Linked DNA regions of Ovis aries. The protein of the gene in region 6 purifies or fractionates together with the protein of the main gene of each other region. This does not show direct contact. Links are inferred from orthologs where the notes say so. Each region holds a gene or a part of one and is shown on either strand. Other genes may lie near its edges. The genes, in order: ASB1, ASB6, ASB7, RAB40B, SPSB2, RNF7 and TULP4.

Region 1 (3,500 bases), about 240 Mb from region 6:
AAGGCCGCCTCGCAGCCATGACGCAGGACGGCGTCCATGACGCAGCCGGGCGAGCCCCTGTAAAAGCCCTGCGTGTTGACGGGGCCGTTGCAGTTGAAGTCCGGGTTCGCCCCCGCCTGCAGCAGCAGCTTGAAGCACTGCAGGTTGTGGTAGGCAGCGCTGATGTACAGCGGGCAGACCACCAAGGAGGTGAGCCGCCGTGAGAAAGGGGGCTGGGCGTCAGGAGTCAGGTGGTGGTTGACATCGACGTCCGCCCCATACCTGCAGAGAGACACACGGAGAGTCAGGCCAGCATGGTCGGCAGACCCTGACCGCACCTGCAGGGACGGCCCGACGCCCCAGCACCGGAGCATCCCCTGCTCACAGTGGGCCCATGACTCCCAGCAGGCACCACGGTAGCTCAGAACCTTAGGATCCTCTCACACAAGAAAACTCCTAAGGGAATTCTTTCTAACCTGTGAAGACCCAACAATCCCACGGCTATTTTAACTATTTCAAACAAAGATAAAGAAGGACAATTCCCAAATTCATCTTATGCAATGAACAACAGAATAAACCCCAAACCAAACAAAGGTCATACCATAAAGAAAACTTACCAGTGACCTGCACTTAGGAGCATCAACTTACAACCTCCAATTAAACGTCAGCAAAGGGACTCCAAACACATTAAGACAGCAACACACGATGACCTCATGGGGGTTATTCCAGGGGTGGTTCCTATATCAGAAACTCTATTAACATAATCCATCATATTCACAGAACTAAGGGGAAACGCTGCGGATGTGACTGGTGATGAAGCAAGGTCCGATGCTGTAAAGAGCAATACTGCACAGGAACCTGGAATGTTAGGCCCATGAGTCAAGGCAAACTGGAAGTGGTTAAACAGGAGATGGCAAGGATGAACGTCAACATTTTAGGAATCAGCAAACTAAAATGAACTTGAGTGCGTGAATTTAACTCAGATGACCATTATATATCTACTGCTGTGGGCAAGAATCACTCAGAAAAAATGGAGTAGCCATCACAGTCAACAAAACAGTCAGAATATGCAGTACTGGATGCAGTCTCAAATATGACAGAATGACCTCTGTTCGTCTCCAAGGCAAACCATTCAATATCACAGTAATCCAAGTCTATGCCCCAACCAGTAATGCTGAAGAAGCTGAAGTTGAATGGTTCTATGAAGACCTATAAGATCTTCTAGAACTAACAGCCAAAAAAGATGTCCTTTTTGTTATAGGGAACTGGAGCAAAAGCAGGAAGTCAAGAAACACGTGGAATAACAGGCAAATCTGGTCTTGGGAGTACAAAATGAAGCAGGGCAAAGGCTAAGAGTTTTGCCAAGAACGCACTGGTCATAGCAAACACCCTCTTCCAACAACACAAGAGAAGACTCTACACATGGACATCACCAGATGGTCAATACCAAAATCAGATTGGTTATATTCTCTGTGGCCAAAGATGGAGAAGCTCTATTCAGTCAGCAAAAACAAGACCGGGAGCTGACTGTGGCTCAGATCATGAACTCCTTATTGCCAAATTCAGACTGAAATTGAAGAAAGTAGGGAAAACCACTAGACCATTCAGGTATGACCTAAATCAAATCCCTTGCAATTATACAGTGGAAGTGACAAATAGATTTAAGGGACTAGATCTGACAGAGTGCCTGATGAACTATGGGCGGAGGTTTGTGACATTGTACAGGAGACAGGGAGCAAGAAAAAGAAATGCAAAAAAGCAAAATGGCCATCTGAGGAGGCCTTACAAATACCTGTGAAAAGAAGAGAAGTGAAAAGCAAAGAAGAAAGGGAAAGATATACCCATGTGAATGCAGAGTTCCAAAGAATAGCAAGGAGAATTAAGAAAGCCTTCCTCAGCGATCAGTGCAAATAGAGGAACACAACAGAATGGGAAAGACTAGAGATCTCATCAAGAAAATTAGAGATACCAAGGGAACATTTCATGCAAAGATGGGCTCAATAAAGGACAGAAATGGTACGGACCAAACAGAAGAAGAAACTAAGAGGTGGAAAGAATACACAGAACTATACCAAAAAGATCATCACAACCCAGATAATCACGATGGTGTGATCACTCACCTAGAGCCAGACATCTTGGAATGTGAAGTCAAGTGGGCCTTAGGAAGCATCACTATGAACAAAGCTAGTGGAGGTGATGGAATTCCAGTTGAGCTATTTCAAATCCTGGAAGATGATGCTGTGAGAGTGCTGCACTCAATATGCCAGCAAATTTGGAAAACTCAGCAGTGGCCACAGGACTGGAAAAGGTCAGTTTTCATTCCAATCCCAAAGAAAGGCAATGCCGAAGAATGCTCAAACTATTGCACAATTGCACTCATCCCACACACTAGTAAAATGGTGCTCAAAATTCTCCAAGCCAGGCTTCAGCAATACACAAACTGTGAACTTCCAGATGTTCAAGCTGGATTTACAAAAGGCAGAGGAACCAGAGTTCAAATTGCCAACATCATGTGGATCATTGAAAAAGCACGAGAGTTCCAGAAAAACATGTGTTTCTGCCTTATTGACTATGCCAAAGCCTTTGACTGTGTTCAGTTCAGTTCAGTTCAGTCACTTAGTCATGTCTGACTCTTTGCGACCCCATGGACTGCAGCACATCAGGCCTCCCTGTCCATCACCAACTCCCAGAGTCCACCCAGACCCATGTCCGTTGAGTCGATGATACCATCCAACCATCTCATCCTCTGTCGTCCACTTCTCCTTCTGTCTTCAATCTTTCCCAGCATCAGGGTCTTTTCAAATGAGTCAGCTCTTCGCATCAGGTGGCCAAAGTATTGGGGTTTCAGCTTCAACATCAGTCCCTCTAATGGAACACCCAGGACTGATCTTTAAGATGAACTGGTTGGATCTCCTTGCAGTCCAAGGGACTCTCCAGAGTCTTCTCCAACACCACAGTTTAAAACCATCAACCATCTTCAGCGCTCAGCTTTCTTTATTGTCCACCTCTCACATCCATACATGACTACTGGAAAAACCATAGCCTTTGTTGACTAGATGAACCTTTGTTGGCAAAGTAATGTCTCTCCTTTTTAATATACAGTCTAAGTTGGTCATAACTTTCCAAGGAGTACTTACTTTCCAAGGAGTAAGCGTCTTTTAATTTCATGGCTCCAGTCACCACCTGCAGTGATTTTGACTGTGTAGATCACAACAAACTATGGAAAATTCCTCAAGAGATAGGAATACCAGACCACCTGGCCTGCTTCTTAAGAAACCTATATGCAGGCCAGGAAGCAACAGTTAGAACTGGACATGGAACAACAGACTGGTTCCAAATAGGAAAAGAGTACGCCAAGGCTGTATACTGTCACCCTGCTTATTTAACTTATATGCAGAGTACATCATGAGAAACGCTGGGCTGGAAGAAGCACAAGCAGGAATCAAGATTGCTGGGAGAAATATCAATAACAGGTATCAGCTATGCATATGACACCACCCTTATGGCAGAAAGAGAAGAAG
Region 2 (4,143 bases), on a different chromosome or scaffold from region 6:
TCCCAGGAGCACCCACCATGCTTGTCGGCCGCATTGACGTCTGCTCCGAGGTCCAGGAGGCGTTGCAGGCAGGGCAGGCGCTCCGGCTCCTCGCTGGCCAGGTCCAGGGGGCTGCTCTCGTGGATCTGAGCCAAGAAAGCACAGCCAGGTTGGCCCTGGGGCCTGTGAGCGGCTCAGGGCCCCGGCCACATGCCTCCTTCAGAGCAGGGCTGGCTCTTACCCGGTCCCTCCGGTTGATGTCGGCCCCGTGGCGCACCAGCAGCTCTACCATGTCAGGCTGGTTTCGCAGGACGGCGATGTGCAGCGCCGTGTAGTAGGTGACCGGGTCTGAAGGCGCAGACACAGCTCACATCAGCCCTGCCCGACGGCACATTCTCACAGGATTCCAGGACCAGCCTGGCAGCCTAGCCCCAACGCTCCGACCCAAGGGCTCCTGGCACCGTGAGGGGTCAGGACACAGCTGTCCTCGTCAGACGCTAGGGTGCTCAGTCAGGCCTAGGTTCGGGTCCTGGGGAGGTGTTCCAGTGAACGGACAAGGTACTTAATCTGGGTTTTAGTCCCTTTTGTAAAATAGGACCTAAAACAAGGCTGTGGGGAGGAACACCCACAAATGCTCAAAGCTGGGTCTCCCAAGTGACTGACTGCAGAACGCCTCCCCCGCTCCTTGACCTCCCAGGAGCCCAGCCGCCTCTGAGCCTGTCCTCCAAAGGGGAGGAGAGACACGCCTGGCACGTCCTGTATCAGCACAAAAACCCCATTCGGGAACAAGTCAGTCCCGAGTGTCTCCCGGCTGACCTTGCCTGCCCCCCCAACCCCCCACCCAGGGCAAAACAAAGAGGGAAGGAAGATGGCTCCATCAGCACCTCCCGGGCACACCAGCTAGACGCCAACACCATCAGTCCGTGATTTATGCCCAATGTGTCTTATCTGTTTCCCCCCTCTCCCTGTGGCAGGAACCAGCATGCAACATGGCTCAGAACCAGCGGCAGAAAATTACTTTCCCTTAGCTCTGGGCACAGTGCCAGCAGCCCCATTTTTGCATTAATGGAAGCAAGGATTTAGCTGGGAGCTGGGGGAAAGTTTGCTAAGTCAGTCGCCTGATAGGAGCAGCGACAAACTTGCTCCTGATCAGAGGTGGTTGAGGGCCTCTGGGAAACTGCAGGGGGTGGGAGGCCACCCAGTGTGGGTTTCCTCAGGCATCACCCCTGAAGAGATGAGGGCAGAGCCTGGAGGCTTGACTGCCCACCCCCGGCAGGCCACACTCAAGCCATCTATCCACCCCAGCCCTCCAGGCTCCGGCAGACCTTCAAAGTTGAGGTTGGCTCCATTCCGCAGGAGCACAGCGGCTGCGCGCGGCAGCCCCAGCTCGGCCATCTTCAGCAGGGCGTTGCTCACGCCTTCCTGGTAAAATGGAGAGTGGGCTTTTCTCTCCAGCAGCTCGGTGAGAACAAGGATGCGGCTCTCCTCGCTGGCAGCATAACTGGGCCTGGGGCAGGAGAGAGGAGCAGCTGAGGGTGGGACAGGTTGGCAGGGCACCCTGCGGGTAAGTGGCCTTGGTCTCCTGCAGTCACCCCCACTTCGCCCCCACTCCCACCCCAGGCAGGGCCCTGGCTCCATGGGGCAGAAAGTCTCTTCCGAAAAGGTTGGTGGACCAAGCTGGATCTTTTCAATGGAGCAGACTCCAGGTTTGCTGAGAAAGGACTGGGGCTGTCATCAACCTCCTTCCAAGTCACCCATACAACCTGGCCCCTGACTTAGGTACAAAGCCTCATACACCTGCGCTGTTGGCACTGAAGGGAACCCTTGCGGCCAAAGGCAAGAACCAGACACCGACTAACCCGGGGCTGCAGAAGGTGCTGCACCCCAGCTCAGGCCGCCCAGCAGCCAGGGCGGTCAGAAGACCTCCCAAAGCCCGATCACACTCAGAGACGGTTTGGTCCACCAAAGGCTGAGGGACCCAGAAAGCCCTTTGCACCACAGCCCCAACCCGCCTACCCCCCCTCGCCAATTCCAACTGATGCCCAAAACACACCCCCGATCCCCCCTCTCCTCGGCTCTTTTCTCCACTCCACGTAAGGCAGTATATACCACTTTAACCACTGTCAGCCTCTCTCTGGTAGCACGATCACCACGAAGGGTGAGGGTTTTAGCTCGCCGATGTAACCTCTAAACGATGCGCTTTCTGAACAGCCTTCCCACAGGCTAACGTATGACAGACGCGCGCCTGTCTATACCAAACGAGAAACTCCGGGCTACAGAAAGCTCATCCCGCGCCGCGTTTACCGACTACATCCTGCTCCTCTGCAGCTCCAGGTAGAGGGCACAGGACCGGCAGGGCGCAGGGTGGGGCGCTGAGGCAGAGGCCCTGCCGCCACCCCGCCCCACGGGCCTCCCTGAGCGGGCCGCGGCCGCCTCCACCCATCCCCGCCCGCCCTCGGTCTCCTCTGACAGATGAGGACACCGCCCGCCATATTTGTGGGGACAAGGAAAGGGGTGCCGCGCCGGTCTGAGGCGGGGAAGGGCGCGAGTTACCCGTCCAGGGGCTCCTGCCGCTCGGGGTCCTGGATGCCCAAGGAGCCCAGGATAGCATCCACGAGCGGCTGGTACTCGAAGATAATCCTCCGGAAGCCATGCAGGAACGGCATGGCGGCGGCCGCACCTTCCACCGAGGCCGAGACGTCGACTGGGATACGTCGCGGAGCCCGCGGTCCTGACCAGGTTCGGCCGCTCGCTGGGTCCAGTCCCCCGCCCCGCGCCCGGCCCGGTGCACCGCCCAACCCGGGGCTACGCGCCGGAAGTCACCCGCGCGCTTCCGGCCCGCTCAAGCCCCGGGGAAGGGATCGCGGCGGCGGCGACAGCGCCCTCTGCGGTTTCGGAGGATCGCGGTGCGATTGGGCGCGCAAGCTAGGGGTGCCTTGCGGGGACAGCTCCGCAGGACTGGAGGGCGCAGACCGGCAGCCAAGTCCGATCTCAGCCCTAGGCCCGGAAGCTCCTTTCCCGGCCCGGCCCAGCTCCGCCTTGCTATCCCGCTCGCGGCCGCTGGGCGCCGTCCTAGCTCCGCCCATTGAGCGAGCACACACCGGCCGGATCCGTGCCCAGCTCCCAGGAAGGACCCCCGGTGCCCCCGACTTGGGTGGGAGTTGGGTCGGACCACGGTTGGGCCTGGCTTTCACCTTCTCCCCAGGCTGACTGGACCACACCCACCCTGACGGGCGATGGGGACGATTCCTTAGCCCTTGCAGCCTACTGGGGCTTCCACTTTCTGCCTTGATGGACTCAATGAACTTTACTTTCTACATCTGTAAAATGGGGATAATCAAACCCACGCAAGATCTTGGGTCAAGAGCTCTGTTACTGTCAGTTGAATCTAACAGGAATGAGCCCAAGGCTGGGGCCACTTTTCTAAGGAGTAGCGTCTGGCCTTGGGCCTCGCATTCGAACGTCCACAACCTTGAGGCCCAGGGTGGAGCCTTGATGCCTTCGTGATTCTGGATAGCTCGTCGTGAAGGGGTGCGCCAGTCCCAGCCGCTCAGGTGGCAGCCTTGGTCTCCCATCGCCCCCACCCTCCACCACGTGGGCTTGGGAGTCTCTCCCACCTGACACTCGTCAGGGACAAGTCTTGAAGGAAGTGGAAAACGTTTAGAGATGAATTTAAAGACAACCCCATGTGCCTACAATTAAACATAAAAAAATGGGTAGAGTAGGGCTCCCCCATCCCCGACCCCGGCCACCAAGAAAAACGCAATCCAAAGCCTTCCAGGCCAGCGATGGGGACCCAGCAGGGTCCAGTATGCAGCAAGGGCTGGACAATTGCTTGCTTATAATTCTTCAGTTCACAAGGTTGTTGTGCAGATCAAGAGATGAACCTTTAAAATCCCCATCAGGTCTCAGAAGACCTAATTTTGCTTCCCCCTCCGTTGCCTAAAGGAGCAAGAAAAGTGGTAGGGGGATCAGCAGGGAATCTGCCTGTAATTCAGGAGACCTGGGTTCGATCCCTGGGTCGGGAAGATCCCCTGGAAGAGGAAATGGCAACCCACTCCAGTATTCTTGCCTGGAGAATTCCACGGACAGAGGAGCCTGGTAGGCTACAGTCCATGGGGTCGCAAAAAGTTGGACACGACTGAGCGACTAACACACACACAC
Region 3 (3,500 bases), on a different chromosome or scaffold from region 6:
ATCCATTTCCTGTGTGGCACCTGCCACAAAATCAGTGCTCAACAGCCACATGGGGCTAGTGGCTGCCACAGTGGCCAGCACAGAGGCCATTTCCATCATCACTGAACGCTCTGTGGACAGCACGGGTTAGACCCCAAGTGTCATTTTTTTTATGCTTGAGTCTGAATATACTCAGTGGTAATAATTTCATCCTGTCTTTCTTATGAATAAACAAAATCCAAATTATACCTCATTTCTTCATAAATTTTCTACTCCCAAATTCAGTTCCAAGGACAGTGGATTATTTACAAGCAGGTCAGGTAAGCTCCTAATCCTCTACTACTTGGCACCTAGAATGTCTTTCTTCTTCTATAACAATGAATGAAACATAAAAATTAGTTGAGGAAAGGGGAATTCATTAAAAAGTACAGTAGACAAAACGCTGCGTTTAGAGACGATAGCTTCATGTTGAATATGAAGCTCTGAGAGTACCCACGAGGAAGTCTGAGAGGAGAGGGTGGCTGCTCCACACAAACCAATTCCTCCATCCGAAAAATAACACAGGCACCATTAACGCAGCAGGCCACACACTTTGCAGCTTAAAAATAAGGCACCTACACGAAAACAGGCCGGTTACACTGTCCTATGTGGGCCAGGGACAGTGGCACCAAATTTCCTACTGGGAACAAACTTTTCCTTACAACCATTTCTAATATCTAGCATCCTTAATCTGTACTCCTAGGATGCCTAACAAATAACACTGCTATTCCATTCCACGTGTGTTCACACTGTAAAGAAGCAGAAACGGAATGATAAAACACGAGCACAGCTTAGGAATAAAGCACAAATTCTAAGACACTTCCATAGCTAAGGATGCTAAGATCCAAAATTCTCCTTCTAATTCCTCATTCTCAATTTCATGAAAGCCTGGAAAGACTATGTTTATGACTAGTAGGAAATGCCCTGTTCTCGTATTGATCTCTATTTAAAAAATTCCTCTCTCTGCATCCTTTTCGCCAATTTTTCTCTCATCCTATCTATGCCTATTTACTTTTAGTAACACAATTGATTATTTTTATGAAATCCTGTGATACAGAGCTTTCTTTTTCATTTCAGATGAGTGGAAAGAGCAGGGCTAACAAGAATCATTAACATCTGGTCATTTTAAGTTGTAAAAACACCTTAAGCTCCTCAGAAGAAGCAAAAAAAATTCTTAAATGTAATAATAGCAATAATTAAATTACATACTTGTGACTTCTTGTAAGAAATCCAAACACGGTCGACTACTTCCAGAAATGCTTATTGAAACAGCCAATGGGGTCTGTCCTTCATAGTTCCTTGTGTTCGTGTCCGCTCCGTAATTATATAACATCCGTGCACAGAGCACATCGTCCCTAAGGGCAGACAAATGTAAAGGAGTCTGTCCATCTTCTAAGCGACCCAAGTTTGTGTCTGCTCCTCTCTGGAGGAACATTCGGCAATAAGAGTGATTGCTTTTAATCACAGCGTATCTCAACAGGAAACCGTTCTGAATGTCGATGTTGGCGTTGTGGTCCAGGAGGATTTTCACACAGCTTGACCGCTCTCGGATAATGGCGAGCTGAAGCGGCGTTGTACCTTTATCACTGAGCGGGTCAACCTCAGCCTTGAACTCCAGTAGGAGTCGGACAAATGAGTCCCTACCATAGTGAGCGGCCACATGAAGGGGAGTCCAGCCATCATTGCTTTTTGCATTAATAATGTCGCTCCTGTATTCAGATTCTAACATCAGGCGTGCAATCCGGGCCCGGCCATGCATGGCTGCATAATGAAGAGCAGTGAAGCCTCCGATTAAGTCCTTAACTGTGGGATCAGCTAGAGTTAAAACCAAAATGAAAACATTAGCAGACTCTGGGAGAGAAAGCAACAAATTCTGCCGTGGCACAGCACATCTTAGCCAATTCTCACATGAAATGGGGAATGATTAAACACATAATGAGCATCAAGTCCTTCTTGCTTCAGCTTAATTGAAGTAGTTTTAATGGAAAATAAATTTTAGTAGAAAGCCATCAAACCTGGATTAACAGGATGAGCATACGACTTACAAAGCATTTAAAAGATAAATACAGCCAACACAGAGCTCTGATCGCCACACCCCTTCGCTCTGCTAATCTAACCAGCTGCCCTTGGCCTCCCAACTCCCTCATCTCTGCACTGTTTCATGTTTCTCTTCTGTTTTGAACTTTTTGTTTTATTTTCTCTTGTGCTGCTTCTTGGTCTTAAAAAGAAGCATGTGTAGCAACATCTGCTGCTCTAAATTACGGATGTACTGTGGTCTGGCAGACTGTGTTATTTTAGGGTATATTAGGTAAAAAAAAAAAAAGTTTTTTGTGGTCTATAAAAATTTCAAAGTATGTAAGGTATATGTTAAGTGATCTTGATAAATCATGTTTCTATAAGATAAAAGTCAATTCTGAATTCTTTGTTTTGTAAGAACTCTGGAGTTTTTAGGAATTAGGCAGCACACATTGAGTGAAAAATTGGGAGAAACTTCAGCACTGTGTAAATATTATTTTCTAAAACAGTTCCAAACCTCTCTTCTAAATCCACAGATTTCTCGAAATAAAAGAGAAGACAGAAACTAAAATGATTTATCAGCTATGTGTCTCCTCAAGCCAGAGACTTCTGTCCCCTGTTCCCAATCCTTCCTGAACCTGAGAGTCAGTTCTGCACTGCTCTCATCCCACTGGCCTTCCTGGGCAGGGGGCAGAAGAGGGGAAAGAACCTTTATTCACTGCAGACAGGTCACTTACGGAAGTGACGGGAACGGAGGCCAGCAAGTCCATGCAAAGATAACTGGTTGGACCTAACTACCTAAGAGTAAAATGTTTTCTTCTTATAAAAGTCACCCTTAATTTTTTCTTTGTTCATGAAAGAGAAAAATTCACGAGTGTTTTTCAAATAAACAAAGAAAAAGCCTCCACAGTTACGTGATTAAACACTCCTGTATTGTTTAGTAAAAATAGTTTTTAGTTCTGTAACATTTTATGACAGTTTCAGCTCTTAGAAAAACCTATGAGGCAGAAAAGTATATGTAAAATAGTAATAATACTGTGGAAAATACAGATTTCAATTAAGAAGTAGTTACAACAAAAGCTATACAATGTTAGCACTTTTTAGGCAAGTTATATCAGTTGAATTTCTAAAATTATTTCATATAAACTGATATTATACAATAGTAATAAGACTTTTATGTGTTTAAAGAAAAAAAGGGTATCGTATCTGTCCTGCTTTTCACTAAAAGAAAACTATATAGTATAGTTTCAAGTTGCGACTTAAAAAAAAAAAAAAAAGCAAGAACATTTAAACAAAGCACATTGCTGCCATCTACTGGTAAGATGTGAACACGGGCTCCTAATGTTTCCATTTTGACATGATGCCCTCAAGTTTTTTCCAGATACCTTACTTATCTAGAGTGAGTGAGGACATGAATGAAATCTAAAAGAACCTTTACTATTCAAACAAAACTGTAAATCTTGTCA
Region 4 (3,500 bases), on a different chromosome or scaffold from region 6:
CACATGTGTGTGTCTGCACGTGTGTGGGAACTCTCTGTCCAGGTGGGCGGGCTCTGCAGTCCCCCCACATTCCATGTCCCTAGACCAGCTCATGAATGTGGGGAACTGAGTTCTACTACCCAACTTACCTTCGCATTTGAGGGTTTCTCCATGAGCTTATGAAATTATCATTGGAAATGATCATATAGCTGCTACATTTGGCACATAAATTTTAAAAAATGTGTTTTGCATTAAAATAAGTAGAATGACTGTTTAGCTCGTTGTGAGTGTGTGCCTGAGTGGCCTGCGTGCTGGCCAGTCTCTCCACAAGTGACTGTTGTCTCCCCAGGGTGTGATCCTGGTATACGACATCGCGAACCGCTGGTCCTTTGATGGCATCGACCGGTGGATTAAGGAGATCAATGAGGTACAACGGGGCAGGGCTCCCTCCCTGTGGGCCCATGGAGGGGTGGGCAGGGGAGCCAGGGCACAAGGCTCCAGCCACAGCGGGGAGGACATGTCACCTCTTAGCACAGGACGAGGCCCTGCACACAGTCAGGTGGGTTGACCAGCGCTAACTAGGCTGCTATCTGCGGGCACCCTGACCGGCCCAGCTGCCAATGGAGACGTCTAGTGGTCAGTCCCATCCACTGTTGTAAGTGTCCTGGGGTGGCCGTAACAGCTCACCACAGACTGTGTGGCTGAACACAAAGGAAACTCATTCTCTGCGTTCTGGGGTCAGAGTCCAAAATCAAGGTGTTGGCTCCCTCTGTCTGAGAGGAGGGTCCTTCCTGCCTCCTCCAGCTTCTGGTGTTGCTGACAGTCCCTGGCCTTTGATCTCTGGATGCCTCACTCCATCTCTGCTCTGCCGTCATGTGCCTTCTTCCCTGAGCGTCCTGTGTCCTCTCCCCTTCTTATAAGGTCACAGTGACGGGATGTCAGGTCCACCCTAAGATCTTAACTAATTCCATCTGCAAAGCCCCTATTTTCAAAAAAGGACATATTCTGAAGTTCTACATGTATATCATCCCAGGGCACCTGTCATTACAACAACAAAGCTTGTGCCTGACCCACTTTCCTTGCCTCTTTGTCACCCTTTAGCATGCCCCAGGGGTCCCTAAGATCCTGGTGGGGAACCGCCTGCACCTGGCCTTCAAGCGGCAGGTCCCCACAGAGCAGGCCCAGGCCTACGCAGAGCGCCTGGGTGTGACGTTCTTCGAGGTCAGCCCACTGTGCAATTTCAACATCACTGAGTCCTTTATGGAGCTGGCCAGGATCGTGCTGCTGCGGCACGGGATGGACCGGCTCTGGAGGCCGAGCAAGGGTAGGTGCTCCTCCGGGCTGCCCGGCAGCCCCTCCAGCGGTCAGCCTCCCAGGACCTGCCCCCAGGTCGCTGTCTCCATTCTCATAAATCAGAGCTTCTGCCCCTTGGCACTACAGCCAGCTGGGATGGTGTGTCCTCTAGTGGGGGCATCCCCTATGCTGTGGGTGAGCTGCACCCTTGGTCTCCCTGCCCCCATTTGTGAAAACCACAAATGTCTCCAGATTTTGCCAAATGTCCTAGGGAGTCAAAATCGCCCCCAGTTGAGAAGCACTGTTCTGAAAGTTGTTAGGACCTTGATTCTAAAAGGAAGCAAAGCCTTGGGTTGTGTTTCTTCTGTCTGATGCTCCAGGGGTTGAGGAGTGCCCTGACTGCACCAAGGGTGAGACGCAGTCTCTGCTCCCAGCAGGCCCCTGGGGAGTCCCGCTCTGTTTGAGCAGGGGCTCTGACTCATAAAACGAACAATGTAGCTGAAATATAAGTGACAGCATTTGCTTTTCTGGTGTGTTCTCCAGTATGTCTTTATAAAGCTGATAACACATTATTCTGGGTCAGCTACTCTGTTGGGAAGCACATTTCCTGAAGCGCTTGGCCTCAAGCCCCAAAAGCTGGTTGCATGAATCCTGAGGAGACGTGATTGGCCATTGCAGGCCAGGACTCGTCTCTCAGACCCAGTGGGAGGGACGGTTGTGGTCTCAAGTTTGGAGGCAAACTGGGTTTAAGGAGACAAAAGCAGGACCACCTATTTCTAATTGCCCCCTGTAGGCACAGGGTGGGAGACTGGGCCTTGACGTCTTGCCCCAGAGTCCCAGAGAGGAGGGTGGACAGGCATCCTGCTGCCCCGGGGCTGGCCCCACGCCCAGGACACTGCAAGTGAACCGGGTTTCCTTTTCTTTCCCAAGTCCTGAGCTTGCAGGACCTGTGCTGCCGGGCAGTGGTGTCTTGCACGCCTGCACACCTGCTGGACAAGCTGCCGCTGCCCACGGCCCTCAGGAGCCACCTCAAGTCCTTCTCGATGGCCACCGGCCTGAGCGCCAGGATGGTGCACGGCCGGCCCTGCTCCCTCGCCACCAGCTCCGGCCACAAGAGGACCAGCCTCCGAAAAGCCAAGGGCACCCACCTCCCCCAGAGCCCCCCCAGACGCTGCTCCAGGAACAACTGCAAAGTCTCTTGAGGAGGGTGCAAGGCAGAGGAGGGGCACAGATGGGAGGGGGAGGCCGCTCTGGACCTAGACGCCTGCCAGTGTTGTGACCACGTGGCCCCGAGCAATGAAACCGAGGCTGGTACCCTGCTTACCAGATACTTCTGCATGGATGGGCATGGGGCTCTTATTTCAGACATGTGTTTATAAAGGGAAGAACTCTTGATAACATGGAATTTTGAATGTAACCTATCATGATTGCAGTGCAACTTTTTTCTTGAAATAACTACTTTTTATAAGAATGGTGATATGTTTGTGATGAGTATAAATTCTAGGGACTACAAAAAGTGGAAATGGAGAGAGAAATTAAGAGTTTTTGATGCTATGAGGGGTCTTTTTATAAACCTCCTTTTTAATGTGGAAGCACTAATTTATAAAACGCCATAGATAAGTTAGAGATTACGCACAGCCAATTTGTCCAGCTTGTGTATGAAACGGATTTGATCAAGTTTTTGCTACGTTATTTACTACGTTTTAGGATAAGTGATTTATATGCATATTTTCTGTAAATCTACATTTTTTTGTACAAATGTTTTACAAGTTATGACGCTAAAGGGAAGAAAATGCCAAAGATATTTCTAGTTACAGCAAACACACTGCAGCATGGTTACACCACGTCCAGACTGGCAAGAGAATGTCACTCAGAGCCATTTTCAGCTAAGAGTGAAGCAAACTCTGTTGTTTAAGAATGGATGTTTCCTGACAATAAAAAGCATACTCGTTTCTTGGTAGACTCGTTGGCTGCTTCTTCCTGGTTTTGTGTACTTCCATCACCCTTGATCCCATTTGCTTTATTGCCTATTTCAGTTACCACAGTCAGTGCTAGTACCTGGCATTGGCAACAGGGCTGTGTCCCTGACCTGAACCACCGAGTGAAAAGATGTCTTTTCCTGAAAAGAACGCGGAGGCAGACAGTGGGGCCTCAAGGGGCAGCTGTCCAGCCTGTGTCTGTACAGGAAGAGTGGGAGGTGCTCTGGCCCCAGTGCGTGGGGCATCACT
Region 5 (4,101 bases), on a different chromosome or scaffold from region 6:
ATTTCTTGCAAATGAAACAATACAGTATGTATTCTTTGTATTCTTTTGTGTCTGACCTGTTTTTTCCTCAACATTAGGTCTGTGAGAGTCATCCATGTTGTTGCATGAAATGATAGTTGTTTGAATATTCCATTGTAAGCGTGGGCTTCCCTGATGGCTCAGCAAGTAAAGAGTCCATCTGAAATGCAGGAGACACAGGAGACTTGGCCCGGGAAGATCCCCTGGAGGAGGAAACGGCAACCTACTCCAGTAATCTTGCCTGGAAAATGCCATGGACAGAGGAGCCTGGTGGCCTACAGTCCATGGCGTCAGAAAGAGTCAGACAAAACTGAGCCCAGGGCATACGCATGTTGTATGGATATACCACAACTGTTTCCATCTTTAGCTACTGTGTATAGTTATCAGGAGTCTTTTAATGGACCTAGGCAGCTCATTTTTGTTGGGGGCATACTTACGTGCAGAATTGTTGGGTTACAAGGAATTACAATGTATAGATTTAACCACATGTAATTTTCAGGTTTCTCGCCACAGAGGGATTTTGTTCAGAAATGAAATCGTTCAGTTATTTACAGCATGGAACGCTTTAACAAGTTTATGAAAATTTGAGCTGTTCCGTTCTTTCTCTTTATCAGTTCCTCAGCTTTTTATTACTGGTTTTCTGTTCTTCGTGTATTTCAGTTTCTCCCACAGAGCCACCACGATCCACTTGCTAGGCCACTCAGTGAGTTTCACTTGTCAACAGAAAACCCTTAAAGTTCTAAACACATTCTTCCCAACATGCAAGGACTGTCTGAGGTTTGTTTCCATGCCTGCTGAATATAAAAGATGCAACTGGAAATATTGGAGCATCTTCAAATTGTTCAACTCATGACCACATTAAGCCCAGCATCAGCTCTCCCTGGCTCTCAAGGAGGAATCTCAGCCTCATGCATGTGACTTTGAAACAGAACTTCACGCTTACAGCAGAACGAAGGATGGGGTGATGTTAGGGGGAAGAAAACTTCAATGCCTTTATGAGCGCATTCATAAAGCGTGTGGGACTGCAGAGTGGTATTGCTGCCTGTGAGCGGCAATGACAAAGCCAAGGCCTTTCTCTCTGATGTCCAACTTAGCTTCTAGGATGTAGACTGTAAAAGCAAATCAAGAAAAATACTGCAGCTACCCAGGACTTTGCATTTGAAATGCTGGAGTACAGAAGAAAAAAAAAAAATTTTTTTTTTAAGGACACTGGGATTTGTATCTTTGTAGAACTCTCTGGCTTTATTAAACACACTGCTTCACTGCCTCCAGGAAAGGAGGTGGAAGAGGTGGTCACGAGCTCATTTTGTTGTTGTTCAGTCGTGTCTGACTCTTTGAGACCCCGTAGATGATAGCCTTCTTTATCCATGGGATTCCCCAGGCAAGAATACTGGAGCAGGTTGCCATTTCTGTCTCCCGGGAATCTTCCTGACCCAGGGATTGAACCCGACTCTCCTGTGTTGCAGGTGAATTCTTTACTGCTGAGGCACCAGGAAGCCCCCACAAAGTCTTTCCTTACTTTTAAACCAGGGTCTTGAGCTACTAGTTTGGAAACATAAAAGCAGTCGGGCAAGTCCCCCTCAGAAGATACCAACCTTGCTATATTCTGGGGGACAGCGCTTTGGCCAATATTTCTTAGTAGTCCTGGGTAGGTTCCCCCACAGATACAGCCTCATAAACGGTTGGAACATATCTGGTTTCTAAACCTGTTATGCCATCCTTGGCTAGTTGTGAAATTCTTCCATCCCAACGCCCTCTTGTCTGGCCGAAGCGTGAACTATGACAAGGCTAAGTTTTTCTTTTTCCTTTTCTGCCATGTATGGCCATTGTGAGGCACCTATTTCTGCTTCATTTCTTCCAGGAATAAGTTTAGTGTGTTCTCATTCCTGATTTAAGATTCACACGTACCTTGCTGTCCCTGTAACAGCAGAAGAACCTGATGACCTGTCTTCACACATCTATTGAATCTCAATTGCACGTGTGATTTCTTGAGGTCATACTCCTGTGCCACGTTGGAGATGGCCCTCGCTAAGTAAGCCCATTTTCCTCCCAGCGCGGGAAGGAACTGCTGCTTCTTTGGGTGGGCGCCAGATGAAACTGTTAGATTGCCTTCAGGTGGGTCGTGTTATACGGAAAAGAGGCAGCTTAAAAACACTAGTTTGAAAAGCAAAACACTAGAACCGCAGTCAGGCTCAGGCCCAGGGCCAAGGGCAGAGTCCAGTCCCACCGTCGGTGGGGAGCAGTACCTGGAGACCTGCCACCCTATTTAATCTGAGAATTGGTGTGTTTGTGTGCAGACTCCCGTGCTCAGTCGTGTTCAAGTCTTTGCGACCCCTTGGACTGTTGCCCACCAGGCTCCTCGGTCCATGGAATTCTGTGGAGACACGCAAGAGTACTGCGGTGAGTTGCCATTTCCTCCTCCAGGGGAAGCTTCCCCACCCAAGGATAGAACCTGTCTCCTACACTGGCAGGAGGATTCTTTACCGCTGCGCCCCCAGGGAAGCCCTGAGAATTGTTGAGCTCACTTTAAGTGTGCCTGATGCAACCCCATCACCTCTCATTTAATCCACACAACTAAGATGGCCCAGTGTTGACAGGTTTATACACTGGGTCTCGGAAAGGCTAACCGACTTGTCTGTGACTAGAGCTGGTAAATGGCAGCGTCGGGACTCAAAAAATGAAAAGCCACTGCGCCAAACCCAAGGGTGGTGACCAAATGGCGATTGCTGGTAACGCTCCCAGCTCTCCGAGCCAGACGCGCCACCCCCGCCGCCGCCAGGGAACCGGTTATGTAACACGCGGGGGCGCGGACTCCCGGGGGCGGCGGTCACGTACGTGGCTATCTGCGCAGGCGCGGGGGCCGGGCGGCTGCAGGGGCTCGCGCGCCCCCTAGCGGCCGCAGCGGTGACGCGGTCTCCGCTCCGCCCGCTCCCAGTGTGCTGCTTTGCAGCTTCCGCCCCCGCCCACATCCCTCAGGCGTTTGATTCTGGAACATTAAGCGCCGGAACAAAGGCCCCAGGGCGGAACCGAGGGCCTTTAAGCCACGGCTGCACCTTTGGACTTCAGAGGGGAGTAAAAGAGCTGGTGCTTCCGCAGATCCGCTTATCGAGGCTAACACCCGGAGTTTTCGTACCTATAAAGGGCTCCCTTCCTCTCTCCCTCAAGAAACTGTCCTTACCTCGCCATCTCTCTCTTCTTCCTGTGGACAATATCGCTCTATCTAGGGATCCTCACCACGGGAGAGTCTGTGACCTCCACCTGGGAGGTGCGAGGCCACAAGTCGCAGACAGCCAGGTTATGCTAAAGACTGCAGCCTAAAGGAGCTCGCCTGTTATAAAAACCACCCTCTCAAACTCTGCAAGCCTACATCAGCCTGTCATTAAAAGTCCTGCTTGCCAAGTCAATGCCCGTTTGTTTATCATTGGTAGTTTTTAAAAGACTGGCTCAAGATTGTCTAACTTCACCTTTATGTCCCTTAAGGCCTCCACTTTCCAGTGACTCATAAGTGAGGATATCCGCTGGCTGGTCCTTCCTTTATGCCTTTATGCCTTCCTTTATGTCAGGGATTCTTAAAGTGGAGGGAGGAACAGAGAGGGGTGTCCTTAATTACTTTTGAAAAGCACATTTACCATTAGTTCTGGGGACATCCCTGGCGGTCCAGTGGTTGGGGCTCTGTGGTTCCAAGCAGGGTGCACAGGTTCAGTTTCCTGGTCAGGGAATTAGGATCCTGCATACTGTGCACGAGCCTGGCTTAAGACAGCAAATAAAGAAAAATTTAAAAGTTTCTTCAAAAAAGTTACTTAGGAACATGAAATTGTGGACTTCTCTGCTGGTCCAGTGGTTGGGGCTCTGAGATTCCACTGCAAGGAGCCAGGGTTTGACTCCCAGTCCAAGAACCAACAACCCTCACACCGTGCTGTGTGGTCACATATTTAAAAAAAAAAAAAGTGCAAGCATAATTTAAAGAAAATTTTTAAAAAGTATTGAAAACTCATCACAATCTAATTATTGTACCACCTTTTGTAGTTTGCTAGGACTGCCATAACAAAAGGCTTAAGTAGTTTAAGCGACAGAAATTTATTT
Region 6 (2,208 bases):
GATTAATTCTTTCAGTAGCTAATTGTGAAAAAAATAATAAAGCAAAATTTACAAGAAATCTAATTAATACATAGTAGGTAAGTTGAAAGCATACAGAATTCTAATTTTTAATTATTATACTTTTAATATTCTTTTATGTATCCATATTCCTTAGATTCAGAAAGATTCAGACTGGCAACTCCACAACTACAGAAGTGAATGGTTAAGATTTCAAGATTTTAGTTGTCTAAATGCATAGCAATAGCCTATGTTATAAAAAAATTCAAAATGAACTTGTGGTTCCTAAATTGTCCTAAGATATTTCCATTGAATGTGAATTGACTTGATAGAATTTAAGTATTTTTTTACACTTATGTTTGCAGGTAATAAAGTTATTAATAATTTTATTATTACCAAAGAAAGAGCAAATGAATATTTTTTCAAATTAACCAAAAGCATTCACTTGCCAAATTAGTTTAAGTTGAAAGTTGAGCATAAACTTGCAATAATGACAATTCAAATGAGGTAAACAGAATAAACCATTTATTAAAACATCATGTGGTAAAGTTAACTTCTTGACCCAATGTGACAATGGTAAACATTTTCCCCTTGTTAACATTCCACCTAAAACACAGTTAAATTATAACACAATACAACCAGATGCTGAAAAGACTTCTGTCCTTTACCACTCACTAGGTGAGTGCAGATCTAGGTTTTCTTGATGAATCGAGAGAGGATTATAAAGACACTCGAAATCCCATATACCCAAAAGTTAAATTTTATTTACCCTGTTCCCTGGTCCAAACTTAAAATTATATCAAATAAAAATTTCATTAATTATCCTCCCCCCTGCCAAAAATAAATATTAGGAACACATTAAGGATAAGAACTGGGTTTTAAACTGTACTTTATTTGTTACTATAACATTGTCTTTTTAAAAAATTGATCAACCATAAGCATGCAAAAAATTCTCTTCTGAACGGAACCACTTCAATAACTCCTTGGATATCGGTAAGTCAATTATGAAGGTTGTTCAATTTATAGTCCTCTCCTTTATAGCACTTCTAAGCAGTGTGTGAGACACATACCACAGAGGTAGGAAAGACCATCCTTAATAAATTATCTTAATTGTAGAGAATTTCTGAAAATAAAACTGAAGAAGGCTAAACCATGCCTTTGATGAGTCCCAAAAGACCACAGATCCATCTCCTATTCGAAGAATTAGTCCCCTGGAGAGTTCTAGCCGCTGTAGGGCACTTGATAACAAGATCCACCAGGGCTCCGAACAACTGACTGCATGAAGGGCACCTTCGGTTGCTCTCACTTCCCGATTCTCTGGACCACCCAGTCCTGCTGGCAGAGAGGGCAGCGATTGTTCTGTTTCACCCACAAGGACATGCAGCAGTTGTGGAAGGAATGATTGCATTCTCCCCAGACCACTGGGAAAAAAAAAAGAATATCTGACATTACATATTTCAATTTAACTTACTGAAGTCAGAATTCTATTTTGTTATATAATAATTATGGTTCATAATCTTAAGGATGGTTAACTGGCCAAAATAAATTTTTTTAGTCATAAAGAAAAAGAACCTTACATATAGAAATTATACTTTAAAAATGAGGTAAGGGGACTTCCCTGGTGGTCCAGGGGCTAAGACTCTGCGCTCTCAATGTAGGGGGCCCGGGGTTCAATCCCTGGTCAGGGAACTAGCTTCCGCATGCCACAACTAAGACCTGGTATAGCCAATGAAAAAAGAAAAAAATGAGGTAGGGCACCATGCTTGGAAACCTGACATCACTGTTGGAATCCGAGGATGCTGTGGTGGCTTCCCGCTCCTATGTGGCGCCACATGCTGTCAGTCTTTCTCTCGTTGGGAGGTTAAAAGACCTGTGTGTGTGTACTAAGTCGGCTCACTTGTATTTGACTCCTTGCAACCCTATGGACTGTAGCCTGCCAGGCTCCTCTGTCCATGGGATTCTCCAGGCAAGAATAGTGGAGTGGATTTCCAGGCCCTTATCCCAGGGATCTTTCAGACTCAGGGATGGAACCCACATCTCTTGTGCCTCCTGCACTGGCAGACAGGTTCTTTACTAGCACCACCAGGGAAGCCCAGAAGACGAGTCTTCCTCAGATCCCAAACCACTCCACTCGTGCATTGACCCTGGAGACCTTTGGGGCCTTTAAGTTAGTTTATTTAAAGATGTCCTCCTGATTTTAAAATTTTCTTT
Region 7 (3,500 bases), on a different chromosome or scaffold from region 6:
TTTACCACTGAGCCATCTGGGAGGCCCAGTATTTTGTAGAAAGTGAAAGTTAATTCTCAAGTGAAAGCATTAGTTGCTCTGCTGCTGCTGCTCAGTCACTTCAGTCATGTCCAACTCTGTGCAACCCTGTGGACTGCAGCCTTCCAGGCTCTTCCGTCCCTGGGATTCTCCAGGCAAGAACACTGGAGTGGGTTGCCGTTTCATTCTCCAATGCATGGAAGTGAAAAGGGAAAGTGAAGTCACTCAGTCGTGTCTGACCCTCAGCGACCCTGTGGACTGCACCCTTTGGGGCTTCTCCATCCATGGGATTTTCCAGGCAAGAGTACTGGAGTGGGGTGCCATTGCCTTCTCTGGTTAGTTGCTCAGTTGTGTCCAACTCTTTGCGACCCCATGGACTGAGGCCTGCAGGGTTTCTCTGTCCCTGGAATTCTCCAGGCAAGAATACTGGAGTGGGGTGGCCATTCCCTTCTCCAGGGGATCGTCCCAACCCAGGGATCGAACCCAGGTCTCCTGCACTGCTGGCAGATTCTTTACCATCTGAGCCACCAGAGAAGCCTCAAGTAAAAGTTCCTTACAAATGAATCACTTGATCTAACTGCAGTTTATTTTTAAATATATATTATTCCACATACAATTCTGTCCTTCTTTCCTGATGTTCATAAGGCAAAAAAAGCAGGCGGTATGGACTTGATTAAATTAAGGGCCCCGCCCCTGAGAGTGTGACGTCCACAGGGGCTGCTCGAGAGTGAGGAGGTCCAGGGGCCTATGGGTAGGTGCCTGACCCTGGCCTGGTCTCTGCAGGATCAACATCGAGGCCCGGAAGTCCCCCAAGCTGTCGCGCGCTGCTCAGGAGCTCTCCCGCTCTCCTCGCCTGCCCATGCGCAAGCCGTCCATCGGCTCGCCCAGCCTGGCACGGAGGGAGTTCCCCTTTGAAGACATCACTCAGGTATCGGAGCCCTGCTGCCCTTCCCCCTTGCACGTGCATGAGGGCGGCTGAGCCCTGGGGACCGTCTCCATGCCTGGGATGGCAGCCCCTCGGGGCCCTTGTCACCTCCTTGTCCCACTCGGCTTCCCTCCCACCTGGGGATCCCCGTGGCTGCCACGAGAGCCTTCTCGAAGGCAGCTCTGCTTGAGACATCTCCTCACGTCCACCGCAGGACCCCCAACCACTCCTGACCCCTCAGTGACTCCCAGCGTCCCAGGAGCCCAGCCCTGGTCACAGCCCCACGTCTGGCTGGCCTGTCTCCCTCCTGGCCCCCTTCACCCCGGGGCCACTGCCTTGTGGTTGACTGCCTCTTCCACTTTCTGCCTGCATCTCCCTATCAGTGGGCCCACCTTCTTGTCTGCTCCCCGTGGTTTCTGTCTTCAGGTTTCCAGGTATAACCACCTCTGTCCAAAGCCTGCCTTCCCTGGCTTAGCCACAGTAAGGCCAGTGCATCCTGTTTATGCTCCCTTATCCTTTCTCGGCGACTCCCTCGTGTGTGAATAACTACAAGCCTTATCTCCTCCCTAGGGTTATAAGCTGAGGGTATGTGTGTATACAGGTTTTTTTAAACTATAATTGACCTGCAACACTACTGTTAGTTACTAGTGTACAACATAGTGATTTGGTATTTTTATACATTTTAAAATGGTCACTATGATAAGTCTGCTTACTGGCTGTCACCATACAAAGTTATTACAATGTTATTGGCTATATTCTCCATGCTGTACATTTCATCCCTGAAAGTATTTATTTTGTAACTGGAGTTGTAGCTCTCAATCTCCCTCAATTTCACTCATCACCCTCCACCCCGACCCCAGCAACCACCTGTTCGTTCCCCATGAGTCTGTTTCTGGTTTATGTTTGTTCATTTGTTTTGCAGTCCACGCATAAGTGAAGTCATGCAGTGTTTGTCTGACACACTTCACTTAGCATACGGCCTCCAGGTCTGTTCGTGTTATTGCAGATGGCTAATGCTTCACTCTTTCCATGGCTGAGGAATATTTCAGTGTGTGTGTGTTTACCACAGCTTCTTTACCCATTTATCTGTTATTGGGTGGTTAGGTTGCCTCCATGTCTTGGATGCTTTAAATAATACTGCTCTGAACATTAGAAGTGCACATATCTTTTCATATGGTATTTCAATTTTTTAGTTTTTTGAGGAACCTCCATACTGTTTCTCACAGTGGCTGTACCAGCTTAACGTTTCTACCAGCAGTGTTGGAGGGTTCCCTTTCTTGAGCTGGGTTTTATTCATCTTTATTATTGCTTTTGCACCTGTGTGTGTATACATGCACACACACACACACAGCCTATGTATATGTGTGGTTTGGGGCACAGTGATAACTTTTAAAATTTTTTGAAATTTAATCGAATGAGAAAACAGATAATTGGGTGGTCTTGGCACACACAGTTATCAGTACAACTGATGTTTCCAGGAGAAATAAGAACTCAAGGCTAAGAGTGGAGTCAGAGCTTGGTACCCTTGTAGTTCAAGTGACTGGGCAAAAGGAGAGGCGAAGAAAAGTGTGCCGAAGTCACTCTTGTGACCTTTTAACCTCCCCACGCATGGACACACTGGGATCCGTCCACCCCTTGCTCCCGACCCGAGAACCACAGCCCGTGAGCCACCATTTGGAAACAGGGCTGATGTGCTCTCATCACCGTCTGGTCTTGAAAACAGTGGAATGACACAGGGTGAATATTTCCATCAGCAGCCACCACCAGCAGCTTTTAAGCAAAAAGTGTTAGCATTCTTACTTCTTAAGTGATTGATAGAAAATATGGAAACAGATTGTGATTCTTCTTCTTTTTCCCCACAGCACAACTATCTCGCTCAGGTCACGTCTAATATCTGGGGAACCAAATTCAAGATCGTGGGCTTGGCTGCTTTCCTGCCAGCCAACCTCGGTGCAGGTAAGCGCTGCACCCGCTCTGGAGCTCGGGCTCAGGAACCGATTTCAGCCTCCGTGGTGCACAGTGAGCTCTTACAGCACCGGAAGACTAGCTTGTATTTCCCTCCAAAGTTTGACTCAAGCCACCATGGTTTAGTGGAGAATAGAATTATTCTATTCAATTTTTTTCCCTCCAGCGGTGCTTTCATTTTTTTTATACAAGCCCTGGGTGATAAAAATAGCCAAAAGCGCTGATAGGTTTTCTGGTCATTTTGATTTCTGGCCTTTTACTGTGGGCAGATTTTGGTACCAGTGTCCTCAGGTTCTTGAAGCAAAAGAAATTTCTGAGCAAAGTCAAGAAGAGAGCATTAGAGGCTATACGAACAAGTTGGCTGACTGTTAGTGCAGTTCTTAGTGGTAAATCTTTATAGACTTCATTTTCGAGTATCAGTTAAATGTCATGTCTGTTGGAAGCATGAGACATTGGGGAAAATGGAATCGGGAGGACAGAGCCGAGCAGGAACCCAGAGCATCTGGCACTCTCTGTACCCAACTCTAGTGAGTAGCTCCAACTGCTCACATTTATTTGGCCCTTTTATAGAAAGCATGTGGCAGTTCCCTGT

Evidence for each region.
Region 1: the proteins of RNF7 (region 6) and ASB1 purify together in Homo sapiens (co-immunoprecipitation; 3 studies listed by BioGRID and IntAct, with this or other methods). This does not show direct contact. The link is inferred for Ovis aries from reciprocal best matches to the Homo sapiens genes RNF7 and ASB1.
Region 2: the proteins of RNF7 (region 6) and ASB6 purify together in Homo sapiens (co-immunoprecipitation; 4 studies listed by BioGRID and IntAct, counting the BioPlex papers as one, with this or other methods). This does not show direct contact. The link is inferred for Ovis aries from reciprocal best matches to the Homo sapiens genes RNF7 and ASB6.
Region 3: the proteins of RNF7 (region 6) and ASB7 purify together in Homo sapiens (co-immunoprecipitation; 4 studies listed by BioGRID and IntAct, with this or other methods). This does not show direct contact. The link is inferred for Ovis aries from reciprocal best matches to the Homo sapiens genes RNF7 and ASB7.
Region 4: the proteins of RNF7 (region 6) and RAB40B purify together in Homo sapiens (affinity purification with mass spectrometry; 3 studies listed by BioGRID and IntAct, with this or other methods). This does not show direct contact. The link is inferred for Ovis aries from reciprocal best matches to the Homo sapiens genes RNF7 and RAB40B.
Region 5: the proteins of RNF7 (region 6) and SPSB2 purify together in Homo sapiens (co-immunoprecipitation; 3 studies listed by BioGRID and IntAct, with this or other methods). This does not show direct contact. The link is inferred for Ovis aries from reciprocal best matches to the Homo sapiens genes RNF7 and SPSB2.
Region 7: the proteins of RNF7 (region 6) and TULP4 purify together in Homo sapiens (co-immunoprecipitation; 3 studies listed by BioGRID and IntAct, with this or other methods). This does not show direct contact. The link is inferred for Ovis aries from reciprocal best matches to the Homo sapiens genes RNF7 and TULP4.

Annotation. Positions count from the first base shown.
Region 1 is NC_056054.1:2,901,068-2,904,567, forward strand, and holds part of ASB1 (ankyrin repeat and SOCS box protein 1), read right to left. Parts: intron 262-3,500; coding exon 1-261. UniProt on the Homo sapiens protein: Probable substrate-recognition component of a SCF-like ECS (Elongin-Cullin-SOCS-box protein) E3 ligase complex which mediates the ubiquitination and subsequent proteasomal degradation of target proteins.
Region 2 is NC_056056.1:6,876,063-6,880,205, reverse strand, and holds the start of ASB6 (ankyrin repeat and SOCS box protein 6), read right to left. Parts: upstream 2,801-4,143; 5' UTR 2,646-2,800; coding exon 2,533-2,645; intron 1,487-2,532; coding exon 1,305-1,486; intron 328-1,304; coding exon 221-327; intron 126-220; coding exon 17-125; intron 1-16. UniProt on the Homo sapiens protein: Probable substrate-recognition component of a SCF-like ECS (Elongin-Cullin-SOCS-box protein) E3 ubiquitin-protein ligase complex which mediates the ubiquitination and subsequent proteasomal degradation of target proteins.
Region 3 is NC_056071.1:5,390,636-5,394,135, forward strand, and holds part of ASB7 (ankyrin repeat and SOCS box protein 7), read right to left. Parts: intron 1,834-3,500; coding exon 1,228-1,833; intron 1-1,227. UniProt on the Homo sapiens protein: Probable substrate-recognition component of a SCF-like ECS (Elongin-Cullin-SOCS-box protein) E3 ubiquitin-protein ligase complex which mediates the ubiquitination and subsequent proteasomal degradation of target proteins.
Region 4 is NC_056064.1:49,673,226-49,676,725, forward strand, and holds the end of RAB40B (ras-related protein Rab-40B), read left to right. Parts: intron 1-328; coding exon 329-406; intron 407-1,080; coding exon 1,081-1,303; intron 1,304-2,202; coding exon 2,203-2,474; 3' UTR 2,475-3,232; downstream 3,233-3,500. UniProt on the Homo sapiens protein: RAB40B small GTPase acts as substrate-recognition components of the ECS(RAB40B) E3 ubiquitin ligase complex which mediates the ubiquitination of target proteins.
Region 5 is NC_056056.1:209,407,687-209,411,787, reverse strand, and holds the start of SPSB2 (SPRY domain-containing SOCS box protein 2), read right to left. Parts: upstream 2,801-4,101; 5' UTR 1-2,800. UniProt on the Homo sapiens protein: Substrate recognition component of a SCF-like ECS (Elongin BC-CUL2/5-SOCS-box protein) E3 ubiquitin-protein ligase complex which mediates the ubiquitination and subsequent proteasomal degradation of target proteins.
Region 6 is NC_056054.1:247,812,867-247,815,074, forward strand, and holds the end of RNF7 (RING-box protein 2), read right to left. Parts: intron 1,419-2,208; coding exon 1,300-1,418; 3' UTR 501-1,299; downstream 1-500. UniProt on the Homo sapiens protein: Catalytic component of multiple cullin-5-RING E3 ubiquitin-protein ligase complexes (ECS complexes), which mediate the ubiquitination and subsequent proteasomal degradation of target proteins.
Region 7 is NC_056061.1:82,683,940-82,687,439, forward strand, and holds part of TULP4 (tubby-related protein 4), read left to right. Parts: intron 1-801; coding exon 802-946; intron 947-2,805; coding exon 2,806-2,899; intron 2,900-3,500. UniProt on the Homo sapiens protein: May be a substrate-recognition component of a SCF-like ECS (Elongin-Cullin-SOCS-box protein) E3 ubiquitin ligase complex which mediates the ubiquitination and subsequent proteasomal degradation of target proteins.